Linked DNA regions of Caenorhabditis elegans. The protein of the gene in region 3 interacts with the protein of the main gene of each other region in a pairwise test. Each region holds a gene or a part of one and is shown on either strand. Other genes may lie near its edges. The genes, in order: Y71G12B.27, gldr-2 and tatn-1.

Region 1 (3,662 bases), on a different chromosome or scaffold from region 3:
TTCGACCAGCCGTTTTTGAGGAAAAAAAACCCGCCCAAACTTCCAGGTATACGGTAGACAAATTACGTACAGGCCCCCCTTCTCGGGTCGTGTTAGGGCTCCCAGCAGAGTGAGGCGCGAAATGCGGGCCTCACGCCGACCTCCGCGCACCGATGTGTGTATGCAACGAAGTGCGAAGGGTAGTTATTTGGAGCGGCCGACAAGTTCGGGGTTCCGCAGCTTGGCGTGAAACGAGTAGCTTGGTGTGTGCAGTGCACAACGTAGTTCGAAACTGTGGTTGGCGGCCGACAAGTTCGGGGTTCCGTGCCGCACTATACATTCGGATACATGCGGCGTGAGTGACGCCGACACCGTGAGGCCGGCGCGGCTACCGCTGAGGTCGGCGCGGGACTCGTTGCGGCGACCTCATGGGAGCCCTAACAGAGATGTTAAATTGTTTCAAAATAGCACCGAAACTACTTAATTATAACTTTGCGAGAGCTTACAGATCATTCAAGAATCCCGTCAATTTTTCAACATCTTAAGGAAATTGCCTAAAACACTCACCCTTGTCATATTTTCCCTTGCATCCTTGAAACGAGAACCCATCGGAAAATAGTGTAGCAATCCGGGAAGCATCTCTAGTAGCAATTTCATCTGACACTTTGCTCAAAAACTCCTTGACAGTGGTCTCGGATCCATCGGCGAGTCCATGAATAGTTCTGAAGAGAAGAAAAACGAGAAGAAAATAATTTGTCAGCCACATATTGTGAGGCGACTATCTGCGGAAAAGACGGGATGGTGGGCTCCTTTTAAGCGACAAGATGGGCGGTATGATCGTTATGAATAATCGAATTATTGGAGGGACGGGAATTGGGAATTGTTGCGGGGGACGACACGTCAGCACAGGGAATCGAAAATCAAATTTGGAAAGATGGGAAAAAAATCAAGAAATCTGCAAAATTCGTAGAAGAAAGATGAAAGTGTGGGGAGCTTTTAGATTCGGTAATGTGTATTTTCTATAGAATCCCCCAAAGTTTCGAGTTTTGACATTTTTCATAAAAATTTGATAATGCCAATCGATTTCAATTGTTAAAAAAAAGCAAAAGTTGTATTTTTCAAAAATTCAAAAGTACTGAAAAATCATATGAAGTGCTTCTTTTTTCTTTTATAATACTGTTCAGCATGATCAGAAATACCAGAAAATACTAAAAAAAAGTATGCTAGTCAATCCGGAACATATTTTAAAAAATTGCACAATTTGACCAAAAGCTGTATTTTTCAAAAATTCAAAAGTACGCCAAAATCATATGAAGTGCTTCTTTTTTCTTTTATATTACTGTTCAGCATGATCAGAAATACCAGAAAGTATCAAAAAGAGTATGCTAGCTTGACCGGAAGATTATTTTGAAAAATTGCAAAATTTAGTTAAAATCTATTTTTTCAAAAATTCAAAAGTACTGAAAAACCATATGAAGCGATTCTTTTTTCTTTCATAAAACTGAAAAATAAATGAAGTAAATAAAACGATGCAAGCGCGCTCCAATGCGAATTTGAAAAAATTATGCGGGGGCACAAATGAAATTCGGCGATTTCAAGCTCAAATATAAAATCAGGGATTTTTTTGTTGAATTTTTTTTACATCGATATTCGGAATACTCCACGTGATTTGTAAAATAAATACAACATTTCAGAATTTAAAAAAAAAGAATTGTCCACGTAACCTTGCCCCCCCCCCTCTTCCTAATTGTTCCAACAACATTTCCAAAACTCCTCAACAATCATTCATTCCCTACTTGTCGTACAATTAACATCGAAGAATAAGAGTTTTTGAAAAATGGAAGATATCTACTATTCGCCACGTTACGAAGATGATGAATACGAATATCGCCACGTCATTCTTCCGCAAGCCGTCTCGAGAAAAGTGCCAAAGGGAAGACTTCTTAGTGAGGCTGAATGGAGACGTGCTGGAGTTCAACAGGTATATTTTCAATTAAGTGATATGTTAAGATTTTAGGAAAAAAATCGATAATTAAAAAAAATAGATTTTTCCAAAAATCGATAATTCACAAAATTGATATTTTGAAAAAGCCAATATTTTAAAATATTTTTTATTAAATTAAGCAAGGCTCCCAGCCGAGTGAGGTGCGAAATGTGGGCCTTACGCCGGCCCGATAATTTAATTGCCGGTTTGCTGATTTGCCGGAAATTCTCATGTTCGGCAAATTGCCGGTTTGCCGATTTTCCAGAAATTTTCAATTCCGGCTATGTGCCGGTTTGCCGATTTGCCAGACATTTTCAATTCCGGCTATGTGCCGGTTTGCCGATTTGCCAGACATTTTCAATTCCGGCTATGTGCCGGTTTGCCGATTTGCCAGACATTTTCAATTCCGGCTATGTGCCGATTTGCCGATTTGCCAGGAACTTTCAATTCCGGCAATTTGCCGGTTAGCCGACTTGCCAGAAATTTTCAATTCCGGCAATTTGCCAGAAATTTTCAATTCCGGCAGTTTGCCGATTTGCCGATTTCCAGAAATTTTAAACTTCGGCAATTTGCCGGTTTTTTGATTTGCCAGAAATTTTCAATTCCGGCTATGTGTCGGTTTGCCGATTTGCCAGAAATTTTCAATTCCGGCAATTGGCCGGCTTACCGATTTGCCCGAAATTTTCAATTCCGGCAATTTGCCTTTAATGAAAATTTGTTTTAAATAAACATTAATATGTTGATAGAATCGATATTTCAAGAAAACCGATAGTCATAAAATCGACGAAAAAAAATCAATATTAAATTTCTGAATGTGGCCGAATTATTGATTTTTCATACTTTTCAGTCACTTGGATGGGAGCACTACATGGTTCATAACCCGGAGAAGCACATTCTCTTGTTCCGTCGGAAGCGCCATTTCACAAAAGCCGACGAGGAGCGTGCCAAAATGGAATTGTTGAGAGATATGGAAGTGTTCAATAGAGCGCAACAGCAAACGACAGCAACCGATGAGAAATTGAACGCGGTTTTCTATGAATTTGTGAATAAAGCAGTGTAGATATTTTGTAAGACTTTGGGCTTCCATGGGTGAGCGGCGGTGCGTCTCGCGCCGGCCGGCCATCGCCGCTGTTATTTGGAAGCGTCCGACACGTTCGGGGTTCCGCGCCGCACTATACATGACTGAGGCGTCTCGCTGGTCGGCGAAGGCGCCTCGCCGGCGCAGGAATGGAAGCCCTAGTAATACCGTATGTTCAATTAAAAAGCGCCGAAAATCGATATATTACAAAAGTTGCTTTTTAAAAAATCGATATTTTGGGAAATCGATATTTCGACAAAAATCAATATTAAATGAAAATCGAAGTCATAAAAATCAATATTTTGCAACAAAACCCGTATAGAATAAAAATCTCGGCCGCCATAAAAACGAAGCATAAAGATTTTTATTTCAAATTTTATGTTAACAAAAATTACAAATTTGTTTTGAACGTAGAGTACACCAGGGGCCGGCAATTCCCGTTCGGCAATTTTTTTTGTCCACAAATTCGGAAAGTCGGCAAATTGCCAGTTTGCCGATTTGCCGGAAATTGTCATTTTCGGCAATTTGCCGGGTTGTCGATTTGCCGGAAATTTTCATTTCCGGTAAATTGCCGGTTTGCCGATTTGGCAGAAATTTTCAATTCCGTTAATTTGCCGTAAA
Region 2 (3,756 bases), on a different chromosome or scaffold from region 3:
ATTCGCTTCTTCGTACTGCTGGACAAACTGGTTCGATTCGGGACGGGCACAGTAGACTTCTGTTGGACCGTGAAGCAGCTGTTGACATTCTCCAAAGTAGGTGTCAGAGTCGAGAGATGGAGATCGGCGGTTTTCACTAAAAAAATAGCATTTCATTGAAAGACGATTAGCAGCAATTTTTGTACCTTATGGGGTTATTCAAGTAGTGTCGGAAAATTAGAAAAATTACGTCACGACTGTATTCAAGTATATAAAAACATGTATTTAAATACATTTGTGACGTCACAAATGTATTTACATACATTTTGCTATATTACTTGAATAACCCCATTACATGTATTTTATTTTATTTTAAAAAAATTAATTTCCAACGGATTTTAAAATTAAATGTTAAGTTTAGCTAGATATATATCGGTTTGCTAACATGTCAAAAATCCTAGTAACTATACTCAATATTTTGAGTCTATTTTTACTAGAATTACGCATTTTCCCGTAATTTCAGAACAACCAGCGAAAAAATCGGGAATACATGAATTTTCAGCAATTTAATCTGCGTCGCGGGTTCGCATTACAATTTTTGACAAAAATCGCAGAATTAAAGTACCCCAGGCGCATTGTAGCTTCTTCGATGAGCTTCTTCTTCGCTCCGTCCATTTCTCGCATCTTGCGAAGTTTGGGCGATGCTTCGCTCGCAACTTCTCTAACGATAACAATATCATCACTGGATGATGATCCTGGAGCATCACTGGGGTCCACTGTTTCATTCGGCACGTCTTCTTCCACGTCATCATCATCATTTTTTAAAGTTTTCTTAGGAGTAACCGTTGTGTATCCAACTCCCGCGTTTTTTAAATTTGTCAGAACACGCTTTTTAAGCTCTTTTCCGCGTGCCCTCGCTGCTGGAGTCAACTCGAATTGAGTGCACTGAAAAACTTTTTTAAATCAAAATTTCGAAATGACGTTCAAACTCTGCTGATCGACAGAAAATCAGCTGCAATTGCAGCTTTGAATTGTTCAAAAAGTGGTTGAACTTGAGGAATCAACTCTTTTACTTCTTCATCACTTGCACAATTGAGAAGTTTACTTCTGAATCCATTAGAGATGTAAAGTTTGAAAAAGTCGAGCATTGCGTAACCTGCCGACTCGTCTGCGGACCTGAAATTTAAAAAGAATTGATTTAATTGCAATAATAATATGTAAATTTACTGACTGAGCGTCTTGGCCGGTTCCTTTTGAATGCAGACAACACGCTGGAATTGTGGCGAACGATATGAATCGCTTCACGTCAGCGTTCTCCGGAGGCTCTTCACCACGTTTGTTCACTGAAATACACATATATTTATTTATTTCTTTTAATTTTGTTAGTCTTACTGGAATCCATGTCCTGAACTAACAATGGGCATCCCAATTCAGTTCCCATGAATGTGAGATTTTGAATAATTGGACGGCGTGGTAAGCTTGGCTTTTTCGACTGTGACATTTTTCGTTTTCTCGACATTTCTGAAAGAGGAAATTTGATTCTTAATGAAAATAAACGCAGAAAACCTAAAAACTAAAAGAAAATCAACGTTATTGGGAGACATGTCTAGACATGAAAGTAGAAAACCTACATATAAAAATACAATCGAAGATTCATTCAAAGATGGAACGCAGAGAACCAGAAAACCTAAAAATTGGAAGAAATGGGACCTTTCATTTGATAAAGAACGCAGAAATCCTTAAAATTGTGAGAAAAAATATGCCTACGTGAAAAATGACCGCACAGCTGGATTTAGGAAGAAAATCGGTTCTTTTATGGAAAAATAAACTCTCAATACTTCGAATGTGGGAAAATATGAGCAAAACCTAACAAATTGGGAGAAATGTGGGGGAAAAGTAATGTGGACTGAAAGCGCTAAACAACACGCGCGCCCGTTATTTCGGAGTCTCGTTTTTGGCAATTTTTCAAATTTCGAGTTTATTGACTTTTGAAGTTTGCGCTACACACAGGCAGAACTATTACGGGAACAATAAATTCTGAGAATCCGTATTAATAGCGTATTGCGCAACATATATGACGCGTAAAATATCTCGTAGTGAAAACTACAATAATTCTTTAAATGACTACTGTAGCTGATACTTTCGAAACAAATTGTTTTTAGGATTGTGGCAGGCGATGTTTAATTTTCCTCTAATTTTTCGTGTTTTTTGTCAATTCGATGCCTTTTTTATAGTTTTCATCAAAAAATTAGAAAATAAACAACGTAAAATCTGATCAGCGCTACAGTAGTTATTTAAAGAATTACTGTAGTTTTCGCTGCAAGATATACATATGTTGCGCAATACGCATTCTCAGAATTCAGTGTTTCAGTAATATAATATGGTATAGAATGCACACAAAAGCCACAAAAGAAAATAAAACGATAGATTAATGTTAAAGATTTTTTATTCATCAAAAAGTTGTTGCAGTGTCTGGTGGTTTGGGTTCAGTTTTTCAGATCATTAAAGTTGGGGTTTAGTGTACAGCGCAGCCATAAAGAAAATGAGGGAAGTTTTTTTGGAAAAAATATTTGAAATAAATATATTAGGTTGAGATGATGAGTCCGTAGGCGTCGAAGTTTACTCGTCGTCGCCAGCTGCCTTCTTGTTGTCTGGCTCTTCTCCGTTATCAGAAGCTCCACGTTTTGTCCCACGTGGTTCAGCGTCTCCTCCCTGAAAAATTGAAATTAAGAACATACGTTTCTGAAATATGAGTCCGAAAACTAACCTCTGGAGCATAATCGTCAGTCTCGTCGTCGGAGAACTGGCTCTTCTCGAGATAGCTGAGTCCGGGTCCATCTTCATCGCCGCTTCCCTCCTCGCTGTCTTCTCCTCCCTCACCGGCAAACTCCTCCTCAACTTCCTCTCCATCAACATCGCATCCATCAAGAATCTTCAGCGATGGAATCATCTCGAACATCTTCTCACGATAGTCCTCGAGGAGTCCGAGACTTGGATTATTCGACAAGTCGAGCTCGAAAAGATTTGGAAGAACCTTTAAGCACCGGAGATTATCCAAAGAGAGCTTGTTGCTGGCGAGTGTGATCTTCTTAAGATCTGGAGCATTTTTCACAAGAACATCAAACGAAGCGTTGTCTCCAAGCTGATTGTCACTGATATCCAAATAGGTAAGAGCTGGAAGAGTTGGGAACCCGGCGAGTGTGGTGAGTCCGCACTTCACCATGCTGAGCATCTCCAAGTTGATAAGCTGGTCGGTGAGTCCTCCGATTTGTCCATCTTCAGCGTTGTCGAGGAATAGAGTATCGACAGTAGCTGGATCCCTCTCTCTGAGCTCTTTGACGTAGATTTCGGCCATAGACGGCATGATTGAGGATGTAGTCTGAAGGTAGAGGCATTAAAATAAAGTTGAGATGTAAGAGACAAGAGAGAAAATTAAAAAATCGAACAGAAAATGGAGTTTCTTTCCGAATTGGAAACAAGTCGAATAAAAAAAGCTATTTAGACGGTCACAATCAGTATAAAAATGCTTAGTCCATTTAGAGTCCAGTTTCTTACATCACGCACGAATGACTCAAGAAACACGGATAAAATCAATGAAACGATGGTGCAGCAAATTTTGGAAGGCTATGTTAAAAATTCCAAGCGAATAGACTGATTCTATTCGCTTTATATACGATTCTATAATGACAATGAACGCGCAACGCTCAACGAACGAACAAAATCGATACACTGCCAAGAAAAAAGGCCTAAATTAGGAGGAGAGCGCGCGAAAAACAA
Region 3 (3,756 bases):
ATGGCATGGATGGAGTTATAGTTTTCAATTAATTAGATAAAATAAAACTAAAAAAGTGTTTGGGATCGTGTCATGAGATTTTCGGGTTTTGGAGAAAGAAAGGGGTTGGTAATGTGGTAATTAATAATCAATTACCGAGGCAATCGCGGGATTGGGTTTAGATTTAGCACATAAATTACGAAGCACAGCTTCTCTTTTTTGTTGACTAGAAGTGTATGTTGGTGGGTTGATCTAACTAATCTAATCCGACTCCATCGCGCTCAAGTCAAGTCCTTCATCGGAGCTGTCTTCGGAATCAGAGTGTTGATTGAAGTTGCGGTAGCAGAATTCTCGAATTCTCAGTGCGGCTTCTTCCATATCCTCGCTTCCGCAAGTGAGCACAACTCGGAAGTATCCAGGGGCGGAGAAAGCTTGTCCTGGTAGGCAGAACACTGATTCTTCCTGAAAAAAATAACAGAATTAGTTTGAGTTTTCCACAATTTGATTGTTCGAACTTACTCTGATCAAGTTTTGGCAGAAGCTGACATCAGATCCATAGGCTGTTCTGGAGATGTTGACCATCATGTACATGGCTCCTTTTGGCTTGACAACTCGCATTCCTGGAACATCAGCCAAGATGCTATCAACAATGTTGGCATTTGTCTCAATAACGTTTCTGGTGTAGACGAAGTAATCTTCTGGAGTTTCACGAAGGATCTTTGGAAGAGCTCCTTGTACTAGCGAGCATGGCCCGACAATCTTTTGTGAGAGGGCGACAATTCCATTCTTAACGTCAGTGAGCACACCGAAATGGTTGTGAATGATCAACCATCCAAGGCGCCATCCGGGTACCATCCATCTCTTGGCAATACCATCGCAAGTGATGATTGGGACCTTTGGGCTGAGGGAGGCAAGTGGGTAGAAGGTAGCTCCGTTGTATACCAAATCTCCGTAGATTTCGTCAGCAATGATGATAAGCTTGTATTGGTGGGCGAATGCGAGAATCTCTTCGAGATGTTCCTTGGTGAAGACTCCACCAGTTGGGTTTCCAGGGTTGTTTACAATGATCGCTTTGGTGTTGTCGTCAATGATGGTGGCCATGTAAGACAAGTCGATTCTGACATCCTCTCCAGTCATGTCAATCTTGTATGGTTTATCAACAATGTTGTGCGGACGGCAGAGTGTAGAGTAAAGTGGGAATCCTGGGTGTGGGACGAGAATGTTCTCTCCAGCGTTTGCAACGGCTTCAATAGCCATCTGAAGAGCATGTGAGCATCCGGAGGCAAGAACGACATCATCGGCTGTAAACACATTGTCGGCACTGGAATATCGCTCAACAATCGCTTCTCTGGCGGCAAGAGCTCCAACTGCTGGTCCATATCCATCGAACATGTGGCTGCTGACAGATTCGTGCATCGCTTGAACTGCGATCTCACTTGGTGGAAGTTTTCCCCCTACTGATGGGTCTCCAAGGTGAAGCTTGATGACTTTCTTTTCTGGGTGTGGAGGTACGGCGCAAGCATCAGCAATTTTGCGGACTGGGTTGACGGTGTTCTTGGAGTGAGCTGATTGTGGGAGAACGTTCCACTGATCCTTGCGGTTTGGCTGTAAATATAAATAATAAGACATGATAGTGAATGAAGTTTTGGGGGAGTTGGGTGGAATATTTATACACGAAAGTCTACAGGGTAAAATTAAAAGCACGCCTACTCAATTGCGAGCCAAAACATGTAATTACCTTGCTCAAGAAGCGACGCTCGTGCACCAAAAGCTGGTTCTTGATTTCTTCCTTGGTGATGGCTCCCGGAAGTGGGGTAATACGGCTGTGACTCATTAGAGTTTGCATTTTGATTTGTATTCTGTTCCTAGACCAGTTGAAGCAACGCTTTTTTTTTATCTGAAAAAGAGCAAATTATGATGATTTGTGTGATTTGTGCTGCTATAAAAATCAAGAGTAGTCATAAAAAAGTCAAACGATATCAAAAGATTAAAAGAAAGCGGAACTAGGGCAAGAAGTCATAATTGATTAAGAAATGTATGTAGTCCGTATGTTTAGAGCTGTAGAAAGTGTGTTTGGAAATATGCTGGAACAGTGGGAAACGAGCCAACTTTTATATCTGTGAACGTACGAATTGGAACCCCGCCCCCCACTGATAATGTTTCGATGCCGCACGCGACTGATCGCTAATTGAAGGAGGAGTCAATTCGTCGCGTGGTGATTACTGTCACCCCTGCGTCTAGCCAGTCGCACCATACAGGTTCCCACGCTTTCTTCTCATTTCCCAGCAAGCACGCTCTGCGTATCGTATCATCTTGTCCTTGTCTCTATTCATCGTCGTCTTCTCGTTATTCTCTCCGCTTGGCCTGTCATCTATCTCTCTCTTCTCCTACCGACCAGCAGCGGCGACAAGGTATTAAAAATACATCGACATACACGTGGCGCGATAGTCACGTTGACTAAACATGATGACATACGCATAAAGATGACGAAAGATGAATGGGGTCGGTCGTCAGACCAGATGCGATCGCCAGATAAAACTTGGTTGTGTTGCAACTGTGTGGGTGGTCTCTCTCACTCTCGGTGCGACGACGTTGGCGAACAAAAGTATAGTGAACATCTCATATCGAGTACAAAAACCAAACAAAGTGGCGTCAGACATCGTGAAAATAGAAATAGACGAGATCAAGATAAGAAGTGTATTTTTAAAGATCATTTGTAGTCGACACACACCCACGTCATTATGATATGATGGCATTGTCTGGCCGAAAATCTGTATCGCGTTACACAATCAGTTATTCCTGGTACTGTAAGCACTTGGGTGTCTACTATTAGTACCTGTTCTCAGTGGTTTCTATTTTGAGATCACTGCGATGATCTATTATTGTCAGCGTGTACTAAATGTTCTGTTTTGTATTTTAGAAATCAAACTATGACATTTTCTGAATATCAAAAGTCTCTGAGATCAGATATCGAATTTGAAATTTTCTACAATATTGTCTATCAGTTCACTCATTGATAGATCACCCATATTCCCACGCATTTGTAACTTGATCTATCAGTTAGGGAAGTGTTCTCAGCTAAAGTGGGACGTATTTGATTTTTAGTTTCTGTTTTACAAATGCAAAAACACCACAATAAAATTTTGAGAGTCGTTCCAAGCTTTCTGGGGATTACTGTAAGGATCCATCCACGACCAAGTTCCGTCTTACGTAGTTGGTTTCTTGTCTCCTTCCGCAGCAGGATTCGGATCACGGTGGCCAAAAATCATACTCTTGCCACGATATCATGACAGTTCTTGAATTGGCTGAAAATTTTAGACTGGGAAAACAATAATCAGTACTGTGGGCACCCAACTGTTTGCGTCCGTTTTGATGATTGGTTTCTTGTTCTTTAAAATACAAATATAACATCATCGGTGTACCTGTTATTAGTTTCATGAAATGAACTAATTTTCTACGCAATGAAAAAAGAAAGTGTTATCGGAAAAAGAAACAGAAATGAACCCATGTTCGCAAACCGTCTGGCAGGAAATATTTTGATCTTTTGTAAATAGTCATGATAAGAACATTTTTAGGTACATTTTTTGCGGTGCAAATGTGTACACAGTTTTGGAGTATTTTGATTCAAATCAAATTGTGTTGAACTGAAAAAACGGTTCATGTGTAGTACCCCTAAACATTAATAAAGTTAGCACAAATATAACTATTTTAAGACTAAGATTGAAAAATGTGTTTTTCCAATTGCCCCAACTTGGTACGAGTATTATTATGTGAATG

Evidence for each region.
Region 1: the proteins of tatn-1 (region 3) and Y71G12B.27 interact in a two-hybrid assay, tested with the Caenorhabditis elegans proteins (one large-scale study listed by BioGRID).
Region 2: the proteins of tatn-1 (region 3) and gldr-2 interact in a two-hybrid assay, tested with the Caenorhabditis elegans proteins (one large-scale study listed by BioGRID).

The regions. Positions count from the first base shown.
Region 1 is NC_003279.8:1,796,800-1,800,461, reverse strand, and holds Y71G12B.27 (Cyclin-dependent kinases regulatory subunit), read left to right. Parts: upstream 1-1,739; 5' UTR 1,740-1,816; coding exon 1,817-1,960; intron 1,961-2,810; coding exon 2,811-3,023; 3' UTR 3,024-3,027; downstream 3,028-3,662. Other genes in the region: Y71G12B.5 (Apolipophorin), read right to left, coding at 547-745.
Region 2 is NC_003279.8:15,034,119-15,037,874, reverse strand, and holds the start of gldr-2 (PAP-associated domain-containing protein), read right to left. Parts: upstream 1,867-3,756; 5' UTR 1,611-1,866; intron 1,507-1,610; exon of another isoform or gene 1,501-1,506; 5' UTR 1,499-1,500; coding exon 1,372-1,498; intron 1,323-1,371; coding exon 1,211-1,322; intron 1,156-1,210; coding exon 969-1,155; intron 925-968; coding exon 605-924; intron 137-604; coding exon 1-136. Other genes in the region: F33H2.3 (Acidic leucine-rich nuclear phosphoprotein 32-related protein 1), read right to left, coding at 2,599-2,691, 2,747-3,343.
Region 3 is NC_003284.9:14,789,128-14,792,883, reverse strand, and holds the start of tatn-1 (Tyrosine aminotransferase), read right to left. Parts: upstream 1,877-3,756; 5' UTR 1,826-1,876; coding exon 1,718-1,825; intron 1,585-1,717; coding exon 499-1,584; intron 442-498; coding exon 241-441; 3' UTR 1-240. UniProt on the Caenorhabditis elegans protein: Transaminase involved in tyrosine breakdown. Converts tyrosine to p-hydroxyphenylpyruvate. Has no transaminase activity towards phenylalanine.